Oryctolagus cuniculus: one gene and its partners. The protein of the gene in region 4 binds, or shares a complex with, the protein of the main gene of each other region. Links are inferred from orthologs where the notes say so. Each region holds a gene or a part of one and is shown on either strand. Other genes may lie near its edges.

Region 1 (3,939 bases), on a different chromosome or scaffold from region 4:
CCCATGGTGCAGATTAGCAGGAAGCCAGATCAGAAGCAGAGTAACTAGGATTCAAAGCAAGCACTCCAGTACTGGATGCTGGCATCCCAAATGGCAACATAACTGCAGCACTAAACACTTGCCCCCTCCACCCTGCCTTTTTTTTTTTTTTTTTTTCTTTTGGAGTTTTTTTTTTTCTTTTATGATCAATTCCAAACACAGTACAGGGAAGATGGAATGAATACGAAAAAATATCATTTTATTTCCCCATTAAACACTAAGTCATATTATTCAAAATGTGTTTCAAAATCCTTAGCCAGATAACCAATTCCAGTCACTATTTTAGTTCTAATGTTCACCAAGAAAATAGTCAAGTAACAGAAAGCCATTATGAGAAACCATCAAGAGAGAAGAGCTACATTGCTATCTATAATTTAACTTAGTAGGTTATTCTCTCAATATTCAGCAAGTTTGCTTAAAAATTACTATTCCATTAGTTTATAGTGACATTAAAAAAAAAAAACGTATAATTTCAAACTCAACATTCCTTTCACCGTGAACATAAAACTTCTAAAAGATAGCTGTGAGTTGGGGTACAATAAGGACTGTGGCTGCTGGGACAGTACTGTTCAAAGCCAAAACGATTGGCAGCCTTGGAAAGGCATAAACTATATACACACACTCTCAGTATGCTACTATTTCTCATATTTTTTTCTTTGCATACTTGTCTCATAATATGGTATAAATAATTTCTTTGAAGACAATCAAGATGAATACATTTTCATCTTCATTTCAAAATAACTATTTTAAATGAAAAATTTTCTCACATTTGTTAAATATGTCTTAGAGATGAGTTTAAGTATTTTCTTCACTACATGTATAATTTTTCTACCCTATCTTAGTGCCTCATTACAATCAATTTGGCAATAAGACCTCTCTAGTACTCCATGAAAAACTGCATTCAATAGATTATAAGATCGTTACATCTGCACCCAAATTCTTATATGCTACAACAAAGTCTAAAAAATGTATGGCCATTCATCAACACCCTTGCATCAATTATTGCAAATAACCTCACATATGTATTTAATTCAAATTTTGTGGAGAAAGGGTACAAAATAAATACTACAATATTTCTTTAACTCTAATGCTGCCTAGAGTAAGATGAAAAGATTAATATTACTGAGAGGAAGAATCAAATGGCTTTAAGGTCTGTCTTCCAAGTAGTTAGAAAATTTTCACAAAACAAAGAGCCTATGCCAACACATCTTTCTTGTAGTGTAATATAATTGCTAATATGAGGTAAATCTGTAAGCAATTAATACAAACATGAGTATAAACAGGTATAAGTCACCACTAAGTCACAGTCTGGTGAAAGACTTCTCAGCTAAAGTATCTGGGGACAGGATTATGGGAAGTGAGAAGGGGGTGAACAGTTTTCCAGTGGGAATACCTTTTATGTGCCTTATCATTAGCATCAACTTATATGTAACAGTCCACTGCTGTAAAAAGGTATATCCTTTCCAAGTATGCTGGCCTAGAATATACTTTATATAGCATAGTAAGATTATATAAGAATTACTAATGCTTCATTTGCATTTATATTTGGATATACACATAATCATAAATGCATATCAAAAACTATAAACAGAATTTTAAAGTACTTTTATCTCATTTTGGAAAAGTTTACAGTTTATGTTCTATAGAATTTTCTATAATATCTAAATTCAGGGACAAAATGAAAGGAAAACATTACTATCTCTTTAGTAAATGGTTTGTGCAAGACCTCAAGCTTACTCATCTTTTTATATATGGGTTTATTTGATGAGGATTGTAATCCAATGATTGTTTAGCAGCAATTTTACCAAACTGTAAATTCTTTTATTAACAGGCATTATAAACAGATAATACTAATCTTATTTAAAAAACCATGAGTGCCACACCGGTGAATATACAGCTTATGAATAACTTAAAAAGTATTTCCCCTTTTAAAAGGCAACACACAGCATACAAAAACCTAATCTAAACAAAGAAGCTATAATATGAATACATGATTGATGTGTCTAAAATGATATATACAGTACATAATGAACGTTAATTATGTGATCAGTACATTTTTCTGTACGATTCCCTTCATGCTTCACTTTCTCCAGAAACTGAATTCTGAACTTCCTCTTCTAAAATTGGTACAATCAGGTTATCCTTGGACATCAAATTGTATTTCATCACAAATTTAGTAAACCGATGACACAAAAAGGTTTCATTTTCATATTCATCAAATATCTGCCGGTGATGAAAATAAGCATGCGAAAATATTCTATAAATCCTACGGCATACTGATCCTAGTTTTGCTACAGATGATTCCTTTATGCTAACCCTGCTAGGAAAATATTTATTGCTATTCAGAAGACATGCAGCACCATCAAGCGTGTGTCTAGTATAGTCTATAGCAGGACACTCTTTTGGAGTTTTATGAGCTGCACACAGAAAAATCCACTGTTCAGTTGCTGTCATTTGAGTACAAGTATCTGGATGGCATTCACTCTGAAGTTTGACAGCAAGTCCATTTAGCTCAAGACAGAATTGCCTTAAATGTTCATACTTCCATACACCTTCATCTTGGCCTTCAGGTGGTTCAAGAATTTTATCAATATTGGAGCAATCTGCTCTTATGTTCTGCTGAATATACTGCTGAACAGCAAGTGTACTGTCCATTTCATCAAAGGATTCATCAGGCCAATTATAGAAATCCTGCGCCTTGGTGCCCGGCCTGTTCCGCCTCAACACTGCCGTCCCCTCCGCCATGACCATAGTGCCAGAATCTCCACCCTGCCTTTTAAGAAAATTTCTATTCATCTGTGAGTTTTTGAACTCCTGTGACCATGCATCACTCTGGACTTATGTTGAGAACTGACCCCAGGGAGGCACGCATGGGTGCAGAGCAACCTGGTAGGAGATATGATGGTGCTTGGCTGCCACAGGAATGCTGTAGTCATACCATTAGAATCTGGATACACACAGAGGAAGTGAGGGAGGGATGCAGGAGGGGAGGGAGAGAGGAAGACAAAAAAGAATCTGGATATTCTTGCTAAGGTAGAGCCACCAGGAGGAATGGTTGCCGAGTGAGAAACAAATGAAAATTATATATATATGTGTGTGTGTGTGTGTGTGTATTATATATATAAAAGTGAGAACAGTAAATGTGTTTTTAAAAATTTTATTTTTTAATTTTGATTTTCAATTAGTTATAAGCAGTCAATGTAACATGTAGATACAATTCTATGAACATAGTGATATTGCCTTCCTCCTTCCCTCCCTTTCCCTCTCTCTCTTGCTCCAAAATCTCTGAAATATCCCAAGAAATCCTAAAGAACACTAGCCTTTGACCATTAGTTCTGATGTTCCCTGTCTTCATGATGCAGTTTATTTTATTTCCTTGAAAAGTAGAGTTGCAGAAAGAGAGAGAGGGAGAGATGGGAGAGAAAGAGATCTCCCATCTACTAGTTCACTCCCCAGATGGGTGCAAGGCTGGTGCTGGGCCAGGCTGAAGTCAAGAGCCAGGAACTCGGTCTCCCTCATGAGTGCAGGGACTCAAGCACTTGGGCCATTCTCCACTGCTTTCCCAGGCACACTAGCAGGGATCTGGGTCAGAAGTGGAGAAGCCAGGACTCCAATCAGTGCCATAATGGGATGCCGGCATTGCACGTGGTGGCTTAACCTGCTATGCCACAACGCCAGCCCCATGATGGCAATTCTTACCAGTGTCCTTGGCCATGGCTGTTAGTACTGGCATGTCAGCTCTTTCTCTCTGGTAATTACATTGGCAGGACTCGGTCTTCCTGTATTTTCTCTTGTGTGAAGCCTGAGACTACCCTTTCAGTGAGCTTCAAAATTTGCATGTTGGCTGCAAAGAGAAAAGCCATTTACTGCTTCCCTGAGAAGTTGGCTGGCTTTTTGCAA
Region 2 (3,129 bases), on a different chromosome or scaffold from region 4:
CACTCCATCCTATACTTGCTGCTCTGTAGGTAGAATGTGTTTCTTTGGCCCAGTATTCATCTTTGCCACATGAGTTGCTTTTGACCAGTGGAATATGGACAGTTTGATTTATGCCACATCCAAGCGGGAGCTTTACCTGGGCTTGCCTCGTAGGTTTTGTTTCTTACTTTTGCCCTTTACTATGAAAATGGTGTGTCCCAAGCAGGAGCTATTCTATCAGCCCAGCGCTGGAATAAGAGCGTTGGAGCAGAGTGAATCTTGCAAGCCACGCTAAGTGGGGCAGACCTGCAGCAGCCTTCTAGACTCGGGAGCAAGGAGTCAGCATTGGTCCGAAATCACAGGATTGAGTCGTTTGTGTTAGTCTACGCCAGGGAACAGTCAGGGTTCCATAATGCAAGGGTTTCCATAATTACCGCCTATGAATGTTCTTCCTTTTTATAAATAGTATAGTATGACTTTAAGATTATCTTGCATTAAAAAAAAAACCTTTAGAGACCAAATTTCTATTTCCAGATTATTTTTCTTTTTATTAAAGTGCTTCAGTAGATAACAGTGTTATCAATCCACATAAACTTTTGCTGAAATATTCACAAATAAAAATCTTCTCTTTACAAATCACTCAAGTGTTCTACGTAGTAACAGCAATCACCACTGGAAGTCAGTTGACATGAATTTATCCCTGACCACACAGATGGGCTCCCAGACTGGAGATTCAGCATGGCTACCTTAGTATACAGGGCTGGGTGGCAGGTCCTGAGAGCCAGGCCCAGCGAGCCTGGGGAAACTCCCTGTGATTTGAAGCTGATCATTCGTCCTTGGTGCTTTAGTGTCTACACATGCACTTCCCTCACGCAGGAGCTGTAAATAACGAACGGTGAAACGTGAAATCTTAGCATGCCTCTGTGCCTCCGAAGACATACTCGTGCATGCTTTTAAAAGGGCAACGTATCCCTGACACAAAGTGAATGAACTACATGACTTTAAAAGAAATAGATTGCTCTCTTCTTGACAACTTGTCTTTTCATGCGAGTTATATTAAAATCATACTGGGCTGATCCTGGATGACTAAAATTCACAGAAGCTATGCTCAGTAAATTATTTTGATCACAGGGGAGACTTCTGTCCTGCCTACGTAGAATTTACAGTTTACTTTAAGAAGTTCATCCATTGCATGCTTACATTCCTCAGGACTTTTCTGTAAAAAGGGAACCGCTGCTATCTGCAAACACAAAGAGATAAAACCCAGTTTAATTGTGATATGTTGATTCAGCTCCTTCAGGTATCGCCAGAGCTCTGTCATGGCTTCCTAACGAGATGTGGTTGACAAAGGGCAGGGTGAATAAGCCAGCTTGGGCTAGACCTCCAGAGTGTGTTCCTGGTGCCATCATAAAGAGATCAGCAGTGTCTGCCCTTGGGGGTGGGCATTAAAGGAGCGTGAATATCTAGATGACAATGGTGGGGACACAGAGCAGTAAAGGATCCTGGCTGAGTCAGGGACTTTTCTACGAGCCTGTTTCGCAGGGGGGTGGGGGTGGGGGTGGGGGTGGGGCTGTGACTCTGCTGTGGAAGAGAGAAGTACAGAGAGGCTGATGCATCAACCCTTCCATCTGCAGTGAAATGTGCAATACGTGTAGGTAGGAGCAGGACTGCTAAATCTCCACATGACACATTGAAACTGCTAGCAGTAAAAAGGGGAAAAAAAAACATTAATCAACATTGGAGGAGAAGAAAAATGGCCAGCTGTGATGCTCTTGCTGTTCTTTTCAATTAAAAATAAATCAATCATGAGCACAAATGGACATGACATCTCAATAAATAAAACCCCCTGTAGTTAGCTTGTCATTAAAAAAAATGACTTGGATGAAAAGGATAATTTTCTGCAGCGTATGCGGCCATTTTAAGACTGAAGTAGTTTGAGAAAAACAAGAAGCGTCCTTAGAGAGGGGCTGATTGTTTCGTGTTGGTTGTGGCCCTTTCAAAACGGCAGTGTACTTCATGCCCTACACAAGGTACACAAGGGAGTAATTTTCATAGTGAACACAGATCTCTTTGGAAATAAAGGGAAAAAACCCTCTATACCCACTTTTGTGTAACATGCGGCATTTAGGGAACCGAAAGTCATCATCCTCCACAAAGGAGGTGCAGGTGCTCCAAAGTCATCCTAGAGCTAACGATTAAAATTTAAAATGTAAAAGACACACTTCATCTCAAAGTTGGTTTTACCACACTTCTGACGAGTGCTAGGAATCCAGGGTGACCAGGAAAACGTGTGCCTATTACGTGACCTGCACCTCCTTCCTCCCTGTGATGAATGCTGTGGGCCCGACGTCTTCACCAACGTCTCCTTCTGGGAGCCAGCAGAGGCTAGCCCTGGGTCTAGCTAAGACTCAAGCGGGCAGAGGTCCCACCAAAGAGCCGGCAAGGATTGATCCACCCAGAGATTTCCAAAGTCAGCTGGGCAGCCGACTGACCCCTGGGCAAGTCCATCAACTTGCTGGGACTCAGCAGCCTCCCGCCATCTCTAGGTCCACAAGTTCCCGGACTGGCCCTGAACTACACTTCACGTCCCTGGGCTGGGCCAGATCCCCCTGAACAAGCAGTCCTGGAGCTGGAAACAGAGGCTGAGTGGGCAGGGTAGGCAGAGCACCATGTATTGGAGCCAACCTCCATCTAGTAGATGCTTTGTTGACAAGGGCTCAGTGATTCTGCAGTAGCTCCTCCCAACAGATGGGCTGTGAAAACACCTCTCTCTCCAGCCAGAGCTCGTAGGAATAGTGGAAATCTTCAGGCAGATCCAACCTCTGCCCCAGCACGCTCTGCAAACAATTATCCACAGGGGAAAATTCCGAGTCCTGGGGCCTGTCATACCGCCGGCTGTTAAAAGCCTCGATGTTGGCCCGCAGGGTGCACTCTTCTGCCTGGAAGTCCCATGGCCTGGCATCGATGTCTGCGTCGGGAAGAGAGGGAGAAAAAGATGTCCACAGTCAGGACAGCACGCCCCTGCCAGAGAGCAAGGTCCACGGCACTCCATGAGCAATATACAAAGTCAAGTATACAGCGTGCTGACAACTAGGGTTAAAAAATACACATGATGCCCACACACGTAAGCTTGTATACGCAGACAGCATC
Region 3 (3,500 bases), on a different chromosome or scaffold from region 4:
CGCTGCCCCGGGGAGGCCACACACGTGACAGGCTGGGCGCTGCCCCAGGGAGGCCACGCACACGACAGGATGGGCACCGAGGCTGGGAGTCACCTCTGAATCCTGCTGCCCCCTGGGTGAACACCCCCCCATTCTGGGAGCTGCGCAGGCCACAGCCTGCCTGGGTCAGGGGGTGAGGCGGGCCTTACGAAGCGGGGGTCCTTGTTGAGGCAGGCCTCCACGAACTCCTTGAAGGGCTTGCTGTGGGCACCCTCCAGCGTGGGTGGGTTGTTCTTGGGGATCAGGAACAGGACTCGCATGGGGTGCAGGTCGGAGTTCGGGGGCTCCCCCTTGGCAAGTTCGATGGCTGTGATTCCCAAGGACCAGATGTCGGCCTGCACAGGGTGCCAAAAGGACCACTGCTGCGTGCGGCACCCCGAGGAGGCCACGGCACCCACAGCCCTGGCCGCTGTCACCCACCTTGAAGTCATAGGCAGACTGTTTGATGACCTCGGGCGCCATCCAGAAGGGCGTGCCCACAAACGTGTTCCTCTTGATCTGCGTGTCCGTGAGCTGCCCGGCCACCCCAAAGTCCGCCAGTTTCACGTCGCCCTGCTCAGACAGCAGCACGTTGGCGGCTGCTCGACACAGGACAGGGGCGCGTCAGCCTCAGCTCCCAGTGCCCCCAGGCAGTCCTGCGTGTGGCTGCCTGACCCAGGGACCCCCTCCCAGGTACCTAAGCTCTCCTTGGCACACTCAAACCCATGCCAACATGGGCTCCAGGGCATGACCAGCAAGAGCCCAGCAAGCCGACCCTGAACTGCCCAGCCTAAGCTCTAGGGCCCTCTCTGTACTGGCTTACCCAATGTGCCACCAGAGCAGCACCCCACAGGCTCCTGCAGAGCTGACCCTGATCCTGAACCTGACCCAAGCTGGCCAGGAAGCCCCTTGCTTGGCTGGCTGCATCCTCACAGCCTGGACAAGTCCTTCCCATGGCAGGTGCAGCCTCACGCATACAGTGAGGAGGGGGCCACACGGTGGGGTCCCACAAACCCTCTGAGCTGCACCACTGACAGCACTTCCTGGAAATGGAGCCCCCAGATGGCCACAGCCCGGCCCCCACCCCCCACGGCAGCAGGACCACAGGGCCCCCACACCCAGGCCCGTGGCAGCACGCCCACAGCACGACCCCCACCCCCCACCCCCCACGGCAGCAGGACCACAGGGCCCCCACACCCAGGCCCGTGGCAGCACGCCCACAGCACGACCCCCACCCCCCACCCCCCACGGCAGCAGGACCACAGGGCCCCCACACCCAGGCCCGTGGCAGCACGCCCACAGCCCGGCCCCCACCCCCCACCCCCCACGGCAGCAGGACCACAGGGCCCCCACACCCAGGCCCGTGGCAGCATGCCCACAGCCCGGCCCCCACAGGACCTTTGATGTCCCGGTGGATCTTGCGCTCCGAGTGCAGGTAGTCCAAGCCCTTCAGGATCTCCCGCAGGATCGTGGCGATGGAGGTCTCTTCCAGGGGGCCGGGCTTCAGCTGCACGGGAAGACGGGACAGCAGGGCCTCGGCTCCCCCACCCCCACAAGGCCGGGGCCTCGATTCCAGCCCCTCCAAGAGGGGTGCCCTGTGCACATCTGAGGCTCCAGGTCCCTCCAGGGCAGGCGAGCCTGCTTGTACCTTCACTGAAAGCCTGGCAGGGGACGGGGCCCAGCTGGACCACCCACTTGGGCGCACTGCCACCCTCCTCGACAGGGACCAGGATCCCTCCGAACACCAAATCCATTAAAACACCGAGAGGAGGCCCACGGGAGCTGTGACACCCCCCACAGCAAGCCGCCCACTATTGGGGCCCACACCTTACCAGGTCCAGTGCGGAGCCACCACCAAGGTACTCCATGATAATCCAGAGCTTGGTGCTCTGGAACACAGAGAAAGCCATTAGCTCTTGGGACCAGCACTGTGGAGTGGAGGTTAAGCCACTGCCTGCAATGCCAGCACCCCGCATGAGCAACCAGTTCAAGTGCAGCCAGCTGCTCCACTTCCAACCCAGCTCCCTGCTAACACAGCCGGACAAGCAGCAGAAGATGGCCCCCACATCTTTGTGGGAGACCCAGAGAAAGCTCCGAGCTCCCGGCTTTGGCATGGCCCAGCCCAGGCCAGCCCCAGGCACTGTAGCCACTTGGGGAGTGAACCAGCAGATAGAAGATTTCTGCCTTAAAAAATAAAGAAAAGAAACCCATTAGCTCTTGGCTGTGGCCGGGAAGCAGGCCCAGGTGTGGAGTCCACAGACCCCTCCCAGTCGCAAGTGGGGAGGAGCCAGCCAGGGCTGTCCCCCCGAGGAACCCCAACAGGAAAAGCCCCCAGCAGCCTCCTGGCTCCCCTGGCAGCGCACCCCGTGGAGCACTTGGCAGACACGGCCAGTGCTCCAGGCAGGCGCCAAGCCCCCCAGCCACCTTCAGGTAGGAGCCGAAGTAGCGGGTGATGTAGGGGCTGTCGCACTGGCTGAGCACGGTGATCTCCTGCTGGATGTCCTCGATCTCGTCCTCCGCCTCCTCCAGGTCGATGATCTTGATGGCCACCACCTCCTTGGTGTGGTTGTCGATGCCCTTGTACACCTCCCCGAACGAGCCCTTGCCGATGCGGTCCAGCTTGGTGAACAGCTCCTCGGGGTCCACGCGGGGGTGCTGCAGGGCCCAAGGGACAGGGTGGGCAACGCCGGTCAGGGGCTGGACAGGCAGAGGCTCCCCGGGGGACACACCTCAGGGACCTGCAGCAGGCACGGGGCAGTCCTTTTCTGGTTTTATCTTTTACCTTTTTTGTTCAGAAAACTACAATTCCCTCTCCTTGTAAGGCAGCAGCTCCTCAGGGAAAGACACAGAGCACCTGGGACCATGTCCACAGCTGTGCAAGATACCAGCAGGTCAGCACCCCCAGGAGGCAGGCAGGGATGCAGGGACTCTATCACCCCAAAACCATTCCTACAAAATGCCACCTAAGGCCTGGCTCTGTGGTGCAGCGGGTTAAGCCATCGCCTGTGACGCCAGCATCCCCTATGAACACGGGTTCCCGTCCTGACTACTCCAATTCCGATCTAGCTCCCTGCCAACGTGCCTGGAAAAGCAGCGGAAGATGACCCAAGTGCTTGGGCCTCTGCCACCCCGAAAGAGATCTGGATGGAGCTCCACCTCCTGGCTTCAGCCTAGCCCAGCCCCAGGCATGGCAGCCATCTGGGGAGTGAACCAGAGGACGGAAGACCCCCGTTTCTCCCCCTCTCTCTGTAACCCTGCCTTTCAAATAAACTCATAGATCTAAAAACATATTCATACAATCTATTAAGAACAACAGAACCCAACCTGTGGTGATGAGACCCTACATCACAGCCACAGCCCCTGGAGGACTTCCCCACCCCGGAACCAGGGTCACACCAGCAGAGTCCAGCACTGGCCTTTCTCAGAAGCCTGAGTCCAGGTACTCCAACTCCACAGACGCTGACCACATGGTCCTCGGGTTT
Region 4 (4,165 bases):
AAAAACAAGAGCTAGGGCAGGCAATATAGACTTCATACCAGTAAAACTTTTCCTCAGCTACGTAACATGAAGGAAGCTTATGAGTAACAAGTACAACTGTTAACTTGCAAAGTGTTAAAATCAAAGCTTGTGTACAACAAAGGTCAAAAAATCATCATGGACCAGTGGCATATAATTTAGTTGAGTCCAAGCCTCAGTGCGATTTTTTAAGATAATTGTTTTTACTAGCTTCACTCTACTTACACAGAAAATTAAGTTCCCAGCACAGTGTAGCTATACACCAACAGAACTCTACAAATCTCAGTATTTTAGAGAAGGCTGCACCCAAGTTAAAAGAAATCACAGACCTCAGCTTTTTGAAAGTTGTATTTTTAAAGCCCTATAGTATAGCACAGCACAGTTCTAAAACACAACAGGTGTAAACTTGTAAATTTTTTGAAACTTGATAAAGTATCAAAATATGTAAATATTTTAACTTTTTAAAGACGTTTAACTTCACCCACTTAGTGGAATCATTGGTTCACTAGTTCAAAAATCAAACTGAAGAGATTCACATTTGTTTGAGGACACCCTTTCTATGTAATCCAATCTTCCTTCAACACTGTTTTCCTAACTATATGCACCATAGGCATATATGACGAGGCACAACACCGCTTGCATCCTAAATATATTAACAGCCTGAAGAACAGGTGCAACACTATTTAGATACATGTTTTTCCTCTAGACCTAAATCTGCCCTAGAAAGGGGCTTAAACACAACTATTCAAAAAAGTTAAGCCGGCGCCGTGGCTCAATAGGCTAATCCTCCACCTTGCGGCGCCGGCACACCGGGTTCTAGTCCCGGTTGGGGCGCCGGATTCTGTCCCGGTTGCCCCTCTTCCAGGCCAGCTCTCTGCTATGGCCAGGGAGTGCAGTGGAGGATGGCCCAGGTGCTTGGGCCCTGCACCCCATGGGAGACCAGGAAAAGCACCTGGCTCCTGGCTCCTGCCAGGATCAGCGCGGTGCGCCGGCTGCAGCGGCGGCCATTGGAGGGTGAACCAGCGGCAAAGGAAGACCTTTCTCTCTCTGTCTCTCTCACTGTCCACTCTGCCTGTCAAAAAAAAAAAAAAAAAAAAAAAAAAAAAAAAGTTAAATAACCCTTTCAAAAACGTGCAACAATTTTGAAAGGCAAGACAGGAGCCCCCAGCTACCAGTATCTTCCAAAAGCTAGATAACGCGGACTATCCAAGGGTCACAGTAAGAGGAAGGATCCTCAGGACATTTAAGCCGGCTTCTCCTGCATGAGTCAGTAATGTCAGAGAAGTACGCTTTACTTCAAGTAAAAATGTTCAGTCTTCTCAGCCGTTTCCGAAATCCAGCAGCTTAGTTTGGTTTGGCTTTCTAGCGGTCATCTCGGGGCTGAGAGGGGGAGGTCTAGCGAAAGGTACTCTGAAAAGTCAAGTCCGGTGTTCAAAGCGTTGATGAGTCACTAAGTAAGGAAGAACTACAGAGAAGCCAAGGGAGAGTAAAGCAGCATCCCAGGTAAGAAAGTACTGAGGAGTAGACGGTGGGAAACGGAAACTTCACAGGTCAGCCGCCAGCCACTGTGCTTGGCGGCAGTCCGAGGAAGAAGCGTGCCTGTCAAGGGGCAAGTGCCCACCAAGTCGCGGGAAGGGGCCACCCAAGTCAAATGGGAAGGGGTGGGGGTGTCCGGAAAAAGGTGGGAAGATGCTCACCCCGGCCCTCTCCTCGGGGTCGCAACCTCAAGAGGAACAAACAAGAGCAAACTCGGGGTCCAGAGGCCCCACGCCGGACTCTCCGGCACAGAGGAGATCGGCCTCAAGTCCCGGAGGCCCGGGCAGGCCGCCTCCGGAGGAGCCCCCGCAGACGCCATACTAAAAGCCAAAATGGCTGCCCCGAGCGAGCCCGTACCGCGTAGCTAAGTGAGGGTTGGGGAACGGGCTTCTGCGGGAAAGGGGGAGGGGGACCTAGGAAGAGCCGACGCCAGGACCAGCACCCCCGAGCCGCACAGGTAGGTGCCTCCCGGCCTCCCAAGTCGCGGGCGCCGGCGGAGGAGAGCCCCGGCCCCACCCCCCGGCCGGGATCCCCGCCGCCGCCGCCGCCGTCCCGCACACCGACCCCAGCGAGGTACCTGCAGTTCGGCCCGCTCCACCTCCCAGTGCGCTCGCTCCATCTCGAACCGAGCCCACTCGTGCTGGATGTAGTGCAGGATCCCCGGGATAGTGTACTGCTGCGGCCGGGACAGCTCGGGGCCTGCCGCGGGACCCGCTCCCTCCGAGGCCGTTGGACCCCCGCCGCCCGCCGCTCCATTCCCTCCCGGCGAGAGGCTCAGGTTCCCCCCAGGTCCCTGCTGCTGCCGGGGAGGGGCCGCCATCCCCGGGCCTCCACCACCGCCTCCGGCAAGCTCGTCCATTGTGTGAGGGGCCCCGGCCGGGGCACAGGGCGAGACGCCGACTGCCGGGGGAAGGGCCGGAGAGGGTGGCACCGCGCTGGCGGCGGGGCGGAGGCCGCCGGGAGAGGGGCGGGGAGGGGGTCGTTGCTGTGTGCCTGCCGTGGGTCAGAGCAGGGAGCTGCCGGCCGCCGCCATTACAGTCCCTCCTCCATCTGCCGGTCTCACTCACTCACTTTAGGGGAAGGGGGGGCCGCGGCGGGCGGGGGGAAAGGAGGCAGGGTTGGAAAAGGGATCGACGTAGGATCGCCGCTCCCGCACGGCATGCCGGGTATAGAACGCCGCTGCCGCCGCACGCTTAATGGCCAAATAGAGTGCGGCCTCACCCTACGCAGGCGCACTGAGGACGCCGTCCGGCCGCGGAGAGGCGGCTGTTAGGGGGCGGGGAAGGAGCGCGGCTCCTCCCCCAGGCCCGCCCTCAGACCCGTGCCGAGTGTCCCGACGCGGGTTACCGCAAAGCTGGGGCTCCAGCTCCCACTTTTGGGAGCCAGTTGGGCCTTGAACGAGAGACTGTCAGTTTCCTGTTCGTAGACCGAGCCCGGGAGCCGTTACCCAGCCCGAGGGTCTCAGCCATGTGCCTGCCTTCGGAGCTGGGTTTGAACTTGGTTGATCGCTCTGGCCGGTTGCTGCCCACCCTGAATTCCTGACGTTTCTGTTGCATTCTTTGCGTGTTTCAGGCGGTCCCACAGGGTTGGGGCTCTTTCTCTGCCTGTCACTCGCTCTGTCTCCGGTTTCTGAGCGCCAGTCAGTTCCCGGGATTGGGGGACGTTCTCTTTCTGGCAGATCGCCCGGATCTTCGCGGCCGTGGTGACTGGCTGCCCGAGTCGGTCCCGCTTCTGGGCGCCGGGTCGCCTGCCGACCTGTTACACTTTGCCTCCCATCCTGGGACGGGCGTGTTTCAGCGGGTGGGGAGGGGAGCTGGAAACGGTCGTTTTCTTTCTTTTTTTCCCCCCTTGGGAGAAGAGGAGGTAGTGAGATCCTTTGGATTTTGACGATGGTGACTAGAAAGGAAAAGATAACTTTGAAGGAGATGGGTTACGTTTTAGAACTGAATGAGCTCGCAAGAACTTTCATTAATGATAGAATCTTTTGATCTAAATAGAAGATAAAAGCAGCATGAATATAGTTTAAAATCCTGGGTGGACGGCTAAAGATGTTTTCCTGGGTCATTAAATGTTTGAATGAATATAATATACACATAAAAGGTAAGTGTGTATAAGGACAGTCGTGTAATTTTTACGTGCTTAGTTTCCCAGGAAATATCCTAACGAACTAGTAACTTTCCAATCGTTAATACAGCTAGTGATCGTTTGTTGAAAAAAGGACAAAGATACTCTAACAGCATATAAAGAAAAGAGGGTCAGTAATTACAGTCATACAGGGAAACTGGGTGTACAATTAGTTGCATCTCTAAAATGTTTTTTCTTGTAAAAAACTAACAAAAGTTTCACTATGGGATGCACCATTTGGCTTGCGATTTCAAAGAGATAAAGTGGTAGATCATTTGCCTTGTTACTATAGTTTAATGGAAAACAGCTTAGACGTAACTACCCATGCTGCCATATTTTATATATGCATAAAGTGAGATCTTAGATTGTAGTAATATTAAGAACTATTTGTCCATATTATTAAATACAATTGTTTTCATTTTAAAGTGACGGGATAGAACCTCTTTATTCAGTCCTATTCCTTGGGGGAGATGTGGCTCCTATCACA
Region 5 (4,164 bases), on a different chromosome or scaffold from region 4:
AGAAAACTGCCCCCAGATGACAAAAGGACTGTGCTTTACCCGACAGCTCTGCGGCCCACTTGTCTGTGTCAGCATATTCAAACTCAAGGTCTGGTGACTCGGAGTAGCCCTGTTGACAAAAGGAGACAGCGTTACGCGTACTTTACAAAGCAGGAAACAGAAATGCACCCAGAGCCACCACTGTTCCCAGGAAACCACTGCCTCCCCTTTGCTTGCTGTTCGATCACCATATTTCGTCTCCTGGGCTAGCCCCGCGCTCCTCCCCACCAAGCCGTCTCAGAGCACCTTATCCTGTCCCTCCAGAGCGCCTGTAACTACTGCATGTGGGGTCCAGTTTCCACCTCGCCACGAGACTGCAAGGCCCTTGAAAGCAGGAAGTCAGTCCACGTTGATCAGCAGCGATTTCACAATGCCCAGCACAGTCCTCCACTGCTTTATATTCAAATCCCTCTCAAATGAACGAACACAAAGCTTCCAAGTACGTTGTGCCCTGAAGCCACTATTCCACAAAGTGCTAGGATTCCAGAATCTAGGCAGCTAGTGGGCTATCAACCCAGCATTCAAACTCTTAGTCTCTCGCCCTTGTCTCAAACTGCAGTGAGAACTGACAGAGAAGGCAGCAAACAGATGGGCCCGCCTCCCACACACAGGAGAATGCGACAGACCCTTTTCACTGCTGGGCACAGGTGATTACCCAGAACACACCGTCCTGTAGGCCTCGCGATAGCAGAGTGGTGAAGAGAGCGGTTCCCACCCTCAGTCTTAGGTAACATCTACAACAAGAGCTCTGCCCCTTATTCCGAGACAACACACGACCCCTCTCCCAAGTCACTGAGCTTCGCACTTTCCTTTTTAGAAGATTTACTTTACTTAGTCATTTGAAAGTCAGAGTTACAGAGAGAGAGAGAGAGACAGAGAACGAGAACTTTCACCCACTGCTTCACTCCCCAAATGACCACAACAGGCAGGGCTGGGCCAGGCGAAAGTCAGGCACTTCATCTGGGTCTCCCACACGGGTGCAGGACCCCAAACGCTTGGGCCATCTTCCGCTGCTTTCCCAGGCCATAGCAGAGAGCTGGGTCAGAAGTGGAGCAGCTGGGACTTGAACCAGTGCCCATATGGGATGTGGGCCTCGCAGGCGATGGCTTAACCCACCACGCCACAGTGCCAGCCCCAGTTTCTTCCTTTTTGGAATGGGGATGAGGAAAGTCTACCCTGCAGGTTTTTAAGAACCGATCAGGATTATGTAGCACAGAGCGCTCTCGGCAGAGATCAGCCTCCCTATCTCCCAGGCATAGATCCAGCTCCCAGCTACTGCCTTCCGCCTGACTCAGCCTCTGCACCTTAAGGAGACACCTGCAGACAGTCTCCTGGCCTCCCGTGGGTTCAGTCTCGGTGGAAATGAAAAGGTAGTAAGAGACGTGAAAATGCACCCAACGGTATTCAACTGGTCATGGCTACTCAGGAAAATGTAAAGCCATTTTCAAAAATAACCCCTCTCAGGATGAAGGTGGGCTTACGCCCCTCACTCTCACAACCTCCCCGTGCTTGAAAAAGTACTGAGTCGTCCTCCTGGATGTCCCACCACCCACGGGTCCCACAAACGTCGGTTTCCTTTGCTTTTCCAAAGAATTCACTTCCAGCTCCAACTCTGAGCTTGCCAGTGTTTTACACCAGAGGTCTGGGGTTGCAACAAAAGCACAGAAGACGGAGAGGAGCTGATCCTGCACGTCCAAAGCCAGTATCCCGGCTCTGCGGCGGGGAAGAGTGGGGACACTGCGCCTGGACAGCGATGGCTCCCTCTCACTCATCAGCGCCAGTCGGCGGAGCGGCCCGGGATTGCGTCAGGTGAAGGAGACTGCATAGTAAGAGCTCTGGCACGCGCTGATTACGATGCCCTACAACGCTGCGACGTGCGTCTTCATTCATGAATCTGCGCAGGGAAGCGGTAGGAGCAACGCCTTCTCTCGGGGCGAGGTGAGCAGTCAGCTGCTCCCCAGCCGGCGCCCCTGGAACTCGAGCGAAGCCTGGGTCCCCGGCACGAGTGCGTCTAATCCTTTAAGGGCCCCCAGCATCGGGCGCTCTGGGCACACCAAGCACTGCCAACCCATGGCCGGAGCCTGCACCAGAGGCAACGCCCCCTGCTCTCGAAAGCTCCGGCCTCGCTGTACTATGAGTGGTCATTAGCTCCATCCGCCTTCCAGGCGCCTTGTGTCTAAACCCTCGCCAGCCGCCTCCCTGCCCGCCCGCGCCGTCCGGTCGGCGCCCTCCACCGAGAGGATAAGAGACTGGGGGCGCCCGCTTTTCATCGGCGGCCGCGGCGGGGGCGGCTTGTCCGCGGGAGCCAGCGGGTGGATGCCGGCTCCGGGAGCCTGTCTCGGGCGGCGCTGCCAGCCTCACGCCCCCGGCCCGGGGAACTGCCACACCAGCCTCGCTGCCTGCTCCTTCGGCTGTAAAGTGACAGCTCCCCGGTCCCGCCCCGCCGAACCCCCCGGGAAGCCCAGCTCGGCCGCGAGCGCGAGCCCGGGCCCCCAGCCGCCGCCCGCCGGGTCCTAGCCTCGCCCCCAGAAGCTCCTGACCTCCGAGTCTTTGCGCTGGTTGCGGTTGAACTCGCGGGTTTTGCCTCCGGGCAAGAGGCCTCCGCCCGCTCGCGGTGCTCCAGGGGGAGGCTGCGCAGCCGCGGGCGGTGGAGGTGGCGGCGGCTGAGGCTGTTTGTTATTCACAATCAGAGGGCCTGGACCACCGGCTGCCGGCTCCATCTTGGCTGTTCCACACCCCCGGCTCAATTCACGAACAGTCCCCGGGATGCAAATCTCGCGTGACTTCCTCCAGGAACGCTCTCTCTGTTCGCCATATTGAGTGTGGCGGCAAGTGCGGGAAGCCATCTTGGCTGCCCGACATCTCGCGATATTTCTCCTGGCTGAAATACTGGTTTTCTTGGTCTTTTCAGTTTCTGCTCTTTCTCTCCAGTTCTACTCAGATGTCGTTCTGTGTGTGAGGCCTGCTCTATCTCGTTCAGTCTGTTTAGCGGCCCCCCTCTTTCCTCTAAAATCGATTTACACTTAGCAATGTCATAGCAGTGTTCAAAACTTAGGGATACCGTAGGGAACAAGATGGATAAGACCTTTTCATGGAGTTTGCACTCATTTGGGGTAGCCATGCACGACTAAATCAATCACAGTGTGGCACGTGCACTCATTGTCTGCTATGCTTAAGCAGTGAGATAGCACAGAGAAAACTCCCAGTCCATAAATGCCTAGTGGGCCAAACAATGAACAAAAAAGGGTGATATTAGAGAAATAAGGCTGTGAGGTATTCGAGGAAAAGGTATTCATGACACTTGTTAAAGATATCAGGGCAGAGCCGGCGCCGTGGCTCAATAGGCTAATCCTCCACCTTGCGGCGCCGGCACACCGGGTTCTAGTCCCGGTCAGGGCACCGGATTCTGTCCCGGTTGCCCCTCTTCCAGGCCAGCTCTCTGCTATGGCCAGGTAGTGCAGTGGAGGATGGCCCAGGTGCTTGGGCCCTGCACCCCATGGGAGACCAGGAAAAGCACCTGGCTCCTGGCTCCTGCCATCGGATCAGCGTGGTGCGCCGGCCGCAGTGCGCCGGCCGCGGCAGCCAGTGGAGGGTGAACCAACGGCAAAGGAAGACCTTTCTCTCTGTCTCTCTCTCTCACTGTCCACTCTGCCTGTCAAAAAAAAAAACAAAAAAACATTTAAAGATATCAGGGCAGAATTTGTTCAACAGGGCACAAGTATAGGGGCCACTGCAACTTTGGCTTGCCTTAAGGGAGAGATTGAACCTAACTTTGCCTCCAAAAAGGACAAGTGAGGATCCGTGGACCAAAAACTACTAGGAGGAAGCATCAAGGGTAAGGTTTCTGACTAAGCTGACTTGACAGGATTACTGCTGGGGGCAGCCAGAGTACTGAGACATCAAGAGTGGTCCCACATCAAGGGTGAGTTTTTTGTTAAACTGACTTTGCAGGATTCTTGCTCAAACTGGATTCAACAAGGACAGAGAAGGGAGCCCCAGTTCAGGCCTGGTCAGGCAGAAGACTCAGGAGCCTTAACAAAGTTTGATCCAAGGAGAGAAAAACAAGAGTAAGTATAAGGGATTATGAGGTGGCAAGTGGGGGCTGGCTAATGGGTTAAGCCACAC
Region 6 (3,500 bases), on a different chromosome or scaffold from region 4:
GCTTGGCCTCACTGTGTGCCTTCACTGCCAGCTCCCCCATCACAGGACGAGGTACGAACAAATCCAAGCAGTTAAGAAAGGAATAATTCAGCACCCACCAGACGGCAGGTACCTCCGCACACCTGACCCCATTTCGTCTTTGCAACAATGACGTATTTATACCATAATTTCCCACCTGACACAGAAGGAAGTGGGAAAGTGTAAGATACAAGCGCACCAGCAGCACATCCAGGTCCAGGGTCACCTGACTCCAAGGTCACCTGACTCCAAAACTCACTCCTTCCGCTTCAGGATGATGCATTTGACACTATGACGCACTGCCACTGTCCATACCATGGGAAAAATGGGGCACTCAAAAGGGTTCTCAAAACGCCCATCTTCAACTTACACCCTACCGCCCTTCTACAAGACCAACACCTGCACTGACCTGCAGACATCACAGCAAGGTGCAAGCTGTAACTTAGGAATTCAGGGAACAGACTCAGGAGAGGGGGAGGCCTGCTCTTAACTTACCCATGGCCACTGCTGCCCTCTTGGTCGTTTCTAACTACTAGGATTTGGGATCCACAAGAACTGTTGCAGTCTGCTTTTTCACCAATTTTTTTTTAAGATTTATTTTATTTATTTGAAAGACAGAGTTACAGAAAGATGTAGAGACAGAGAGGTGTCTTCCATCCGCTGGTTCACTCCCCAGATGGCCGTAACAGCTGGAGCTGAGCCGATCCAAAGCCAGGAACAGGAGCATCTTCCAGGTCTCCCACGTGGGTGCAGGGGCCCAAGGACCTGAGCCATCCTCCGCCGCCCTCCCAAACACATCAGCAGGGTGCTGGACTGGAAGTGGAGCAGACAAGACTCGAACCGGCATCCATATGGGAGGCCGGCACTTTAACCCACTGTGCCACAGCGCCAGCTCCACCAATTCTTAAAATTTCCAAAACCCCATGGGAACAGACATCACATCTGTAAGTTCTGGGAAGCCAGCCCCTATTAAGGAAGTTGAAATGTAAGAGATCCTCTCTAGTTTTCTTAGTGGTAGGACAGGATCACTCTACACACCTAAAATGCCAAAAACGGTTTCATGCAGGATGAGAAAGCCATCTGTAACAACGGAGTAATGGGCGGGAGTTAGGCCTGGCAGTTAAGACAGCAAACAGGAAACCTGAATCACCTGGCAGAGTACCAGTTCCTGACTCCAGCTCCTTGCTAACAGAAGCCCTGGGAGGCAGCAGGTAATGATTCTAGCAGTTGGGTTCCTGCTGCCCACATGGGAGACTTCAACGAGCTCCTGACTCCCAGCCCAGCCACAGCCATGTGGGCACTGAAGGAATGAACCAACAGACAGGAGCTCTCTGTTTTAGCGCATCTGTGCCCCCCAAATTAAAAACAAAAAGCACATTAAAAAAAAAAAAAAAAACTGAGTGCTGAGTAAAGGTCAAGGTCAAGGTCAAGGGTACTTCGTGGAGCTGCGTTTCACTGCAACCACTATTGTACTGAAGTGACTGCTTCTTGAAAACATGTGGCTAAACTAATCAATTGTCAGCAGCAATTTTTAAAAAGAACATCAAATTAAACCACAGTTGATGGCTTTTACTGCCAATCATAAGCCATCTGAATATCACATATTATTATTATTATGACTTAATAAGAACTGTTGCTGACAACCAAGTCCCACTCAGAAATGCCTTCGTGTGTGAAACAGAACTGCAACATCAAACACTTGAAACATGCTCCCTTAGGTGACGTGTGAGATGACAGGACCAGCAAAGCCAGCATTTCTCCCTCCTCCAATAACCTGAACGCTGTAACGAGTCCTTTACGGCGCCGCTCAGGGCTCGGGGCTCGGTCCAGCACTGCGTCACGGAAAACGCGTTATTTTTAAGCCTACCTTCAGATAGGACCCGTAGTACTTGGTTACGTAGGGACTGTCGCACTGACTCAGCACGGTGATTTCTTGCTGGATGTCCTCTATCTCATCCTCTGCTTCTTCCAGATCAATGATTTTGATGGCAACTACTTTCTGAGTCCGATTGTCAATGCCCTTGAACACTTCGCCAAAGGAGCCCTTCCCGATTTTCTCGAGTTTTGTGAAAAGCTCTTCTGGATCCGCTTTCAGATTCTGCAGAAAAGAAAAGAAGGGGAATTTAACACTTCCCAGCGTCACGACAGTTCTTCCATGTCATCAGCAGCGTTACAAACGCCACAGACCAGTCCCCCAGGACTGACGTGGCTCCTGGGTCAAGGACCGGGCTGGCTGTGAGCACTGTCCTTCAGCTCAGGAGTGAGGTTCCCAGGTCTCGCAGCCTGTGTGGATTAGACAACTACACGCAGCATGTGTGCAGCAAGAACCATCACCCAGCTAGATTAGAAAAGCTGGAAAAGGCTCCAGCGGCTGTATAATGAAAGTAATTAAAAATCTAAATGCTTATTTGAACAGGTTAGAATAGATATATTAGCTTATTAAAAATGCACCCTTCTCGCCAGTGCCGCGGCTCACTAGGCTAATGCTCCACCTGCGGCGCCGGCACACCGGGTTCTAATCCCAGTTGGGGCACCGGATTCTGTCCCGGTCGCTCCTCTTCCAGTCCAGCTCTCTGCTGTGGCCCAGGAAGGCAGTGGAGGATGGCCCAGGTCCTTGGGCCCTGCACCCACATGGGAGACCAGGAGGAAGCACCCGGCTCCTGCCTTCGGATTGGCGCAGCGCGCCGGCCACAGCACACCAGCCGTAGCAGCCACTTGGGTAGTGAACCAACAGAAAAAGGAAGACCTTTCTCTCTGTCTCTAACTCTGCCTGTAAAAAAAAAAAAAAAAAAAAAAAAAAAAAAAAACCAAACACCCTTCTCTCAAACAGAAAGTGCACTTTGCTCGCCCACCTTATGCCCAAATTTTCCTAAATTCAAATGGATATTTACTAAGCCATGGCTGGTTGTCACATGTGACAGGGAACGTGCATCCTACTGCTTCACAGCAGGCCACGCTTTCATGCTCACTAGATAAGCCCCAGGCCTTCACTTACATCCCAGCTCCCAGCTCTGCAACACCGCCCCCATCAGACCCCAGAAAACAGCAGCAGGCTGCCGTTCCGTCACATAAATGCCGCGCCCTTGAAACAGCTCCTGAAGGCTCTTCGCCGGGAACCTGATTAGTCGCATGCACACCTGTCTACACCTGTGGTACTCACTGCCAAGGACCCCAACACACCTGTCCGATTCATTCCCAAGGACCCCAACCAGCCGTGAGGACTCAAGCACCCATCCTGACCTCTGCACAGTGGGAGGGGCTACTTGTCACCAAGCTGAGGCTGGGCCCTAGGATGCCACCCATCTCTGCACAAGGAAGTGCCCAACCCAAAATGCCAACAGCACCAGGGACCAGTGCCAACCCAGAACCCCCAGAGCAAGGAGAGCTCAGGGCCACCAATCCTGATGCGTCTGTCCTCAATAACACGCACAGGGAAGAGGATGCCGGGCCAACCCTCCGAAGTCTCTTATTCCTTCAAAGAA

What was found.
Region 1: the proteins of STRN3 (region 4) and MOB-like protein phocein are in contact, whole or in part, in a cryo-EM structure (PDB 7K36), measured with the Homo sapiens proteins. The link is inferred for Oryctolagus cuniculus from reciprocal best matches to the Homo sapiens genes STRN3 and MOB4. Residues at the interface, in NP_001077362.1 of Homo sapiens: Arg477, Ser478, His479, Phe480, Asp481, Asp501, His502, Thr503, Glu524, Tyr527, Thr528, Arg530, Ala531, Ile533, Ile553, Pro569, Tyr570, Asp571, Thr572, Tyr573, Asp587, Ala588, Trp590, Ala606, Asn652, His683, Asn685, Arg765, Lys766, Lys767; in NP_056202.2 of Homo sapiens: Arg12, Asn13, Arg14, Pro15, Gly16, Thr17, Lys18, Phe22, Trp25, Thr36, Gln40, Gln41, Tyr71, Arg75, Cys78, Leu79, Asn82, Val86, Lys87, Gln89, Ala112, His113, Ile122, Asp123, Arg126, His127, Leu129, Asp130, Gly131, Ala133.
Region 2: STRN3 (region 4) and STRIP2 share a complex: the UniProt entries of both Homo sapiens proteins name them as parts of the core of STRIPAK complex. The link is inferred for Oryctolagus cuniculus from reciprocal best matches to the Homo sapiens genes STRN3 and STRIP2.
Region 3: STRN3 (region 4) and STK25 share a complex: the UniProt entries of both Homo sapiens proteins name them as parts of the core of STRIPAK complex. The link is inferred for Oryctolagus cuniculus from reciprocal best matches to the Homo sapiens genes STRN3 and STK25.
Region 5: the proteins of STRN3 (region 4) and STRIP1 are in contact, whole or in part, in a cryo-EM structure (PDB 7K36), measured with the Homo sapiens proteins. The link is inferred for Oryctolagus cuniculus from reciprocal best matches to the Homo sapiens genes STRN3 and STRIP1. Residues at the interface, in NP_001077362.1 of Homo sapiens: Thr64, Pro66, Gly67, Leu69, His70, Tyr71, Gln73, His74, Val88, Glu89, Ala91, Glu92, Ala95, Arg96, Phe99, Leu100, Glu103, Gly106, Gln107, Leu110, Asp113, Leu114; in NP_149079.2 of Homo sapiens: Arg441, Ile445, Tyr447, Leu449, Thr455, Val456, Val457, Gly458, Leu459, Arg491, Ser492, Pro493, Leu494, Ser495, Phe792, Leu793, Pro794, Val795, Asn797, Cys798, Leu799, Val802.
Region 6: STRN3 (region 4) and STK24 share a complex: the UniProt entries of both Homo sapiens proteins name them as parts of the core of STRIPAK complex. The link is inferred for Oryctolagus cuniculus from reciprocal best matches to the Homo sapiens genes STRN3 and STK24.

What each region holds. Positions count from the first base shown.
Region 1 is NC_091440.1:69,971,548-69,975,486, forward strand, and holds MOB-like protein phocein, read right to left. Parts: upstream 2,801-3,939; 5' UTR 2,791-2,800; coding exon 2,113-2,790; 3' UTR 218-2,112; downstream 1-217.
Region 2 is NC_091434.1:165,685,938-165,689,066, reverse strand, and holds the end of STRIP2 (striatin-interacting protein 2), read right to left. Parts: intron 2,948-3,129; coding exon 2,697-2,947; 3' UTR 2,665-2,696; exon of another isoform or gene 859-2,664; 3' UTR 501-858; downstream 1-500. UniProt on the Homo sapiens protein: Plays a role in the regulation of cell morphology and cytoskeletal organization. Required in the control of cell shape. Calmodulin-binding scaffolding protein which is the center of the striatin-interacting phosphatase and kinase (STRIPAK) complexes.
Region 3 is NC_091434.1:283,383-286,882, reverse strand, and holds part of STK25 (serine/threonine-protein kinase 25), read right to left. Parts: intron 2,674-3,500; coding exon 2,443-2,673; intron 1,908-2,442; coding exon 1,851-1,907; intron 1,526-1,850; coding exon 1,417-1,525; intron 618-1,416; coding exon 460-617; intron 375-459; coding exon 189-374; intron 1-188. UniProt on the Homo sapiens protein: Oxidant stress-activated serine/threonine kinase that may play a role in the response to environmental stress.
Region 4 is NC_091443.1:44,334,543-44,338,707, reverse strand, and holds the start of STRN3 (striatin-3), read right to left. Parts: upstream 2,801-4,165; 5' UTR 2,414-2,800; coding exon 2,132-2,413; intron 2,128-2,131; exon of another isoform or gene 2,085-2,127; intron 2,012-2,084; exon of another isoform or gene 1,780-2,011; intron 1,522-1,779; exon of another isoform or gene 1,365-1,521; intron 1-1,364. UniProt on the Homo sapiens protein: Calmodulin-binding scaffolding protein which is the center of the striatin-interacting phosphatase and kinase (STRIPAK) complexes.
Region 5 is NC_091438.1:60,289,706-60,293,869, forward strand, and holds the start of STRIP1 (striatin-interacting protein 1), read right to left. Parts: upstream 2,801-4,164; 5' UTR 2,760-2,800; coding exon 2,580-2,759; intron 110-2,579; coding exon 40-109; intron 1-39. UniProt on the Homo sapiens protein: Plays a role in the regulation of cell morphology and cytoskeletal organization. Required in the cortical actin filament dynamics and cell shape. Part of the striatin-interacting phosphatase and kinase (STRIPAK) complexes.
Region 6 is NC_091440.1:14,035,951-14,039,450, reverse strand, and holds part of STK24 (serine/threonine-protein kinase 24), read right to left. Parts: intron 2,117-3,500; coding exon 1,886-2,116; intron 1-1,885. UniProt on the Homo sapiens protein: Serine/threonine-protein kinase that acts on both serine and threonine residues and promotes apoptosis in response to stress stimuli and caspase activation.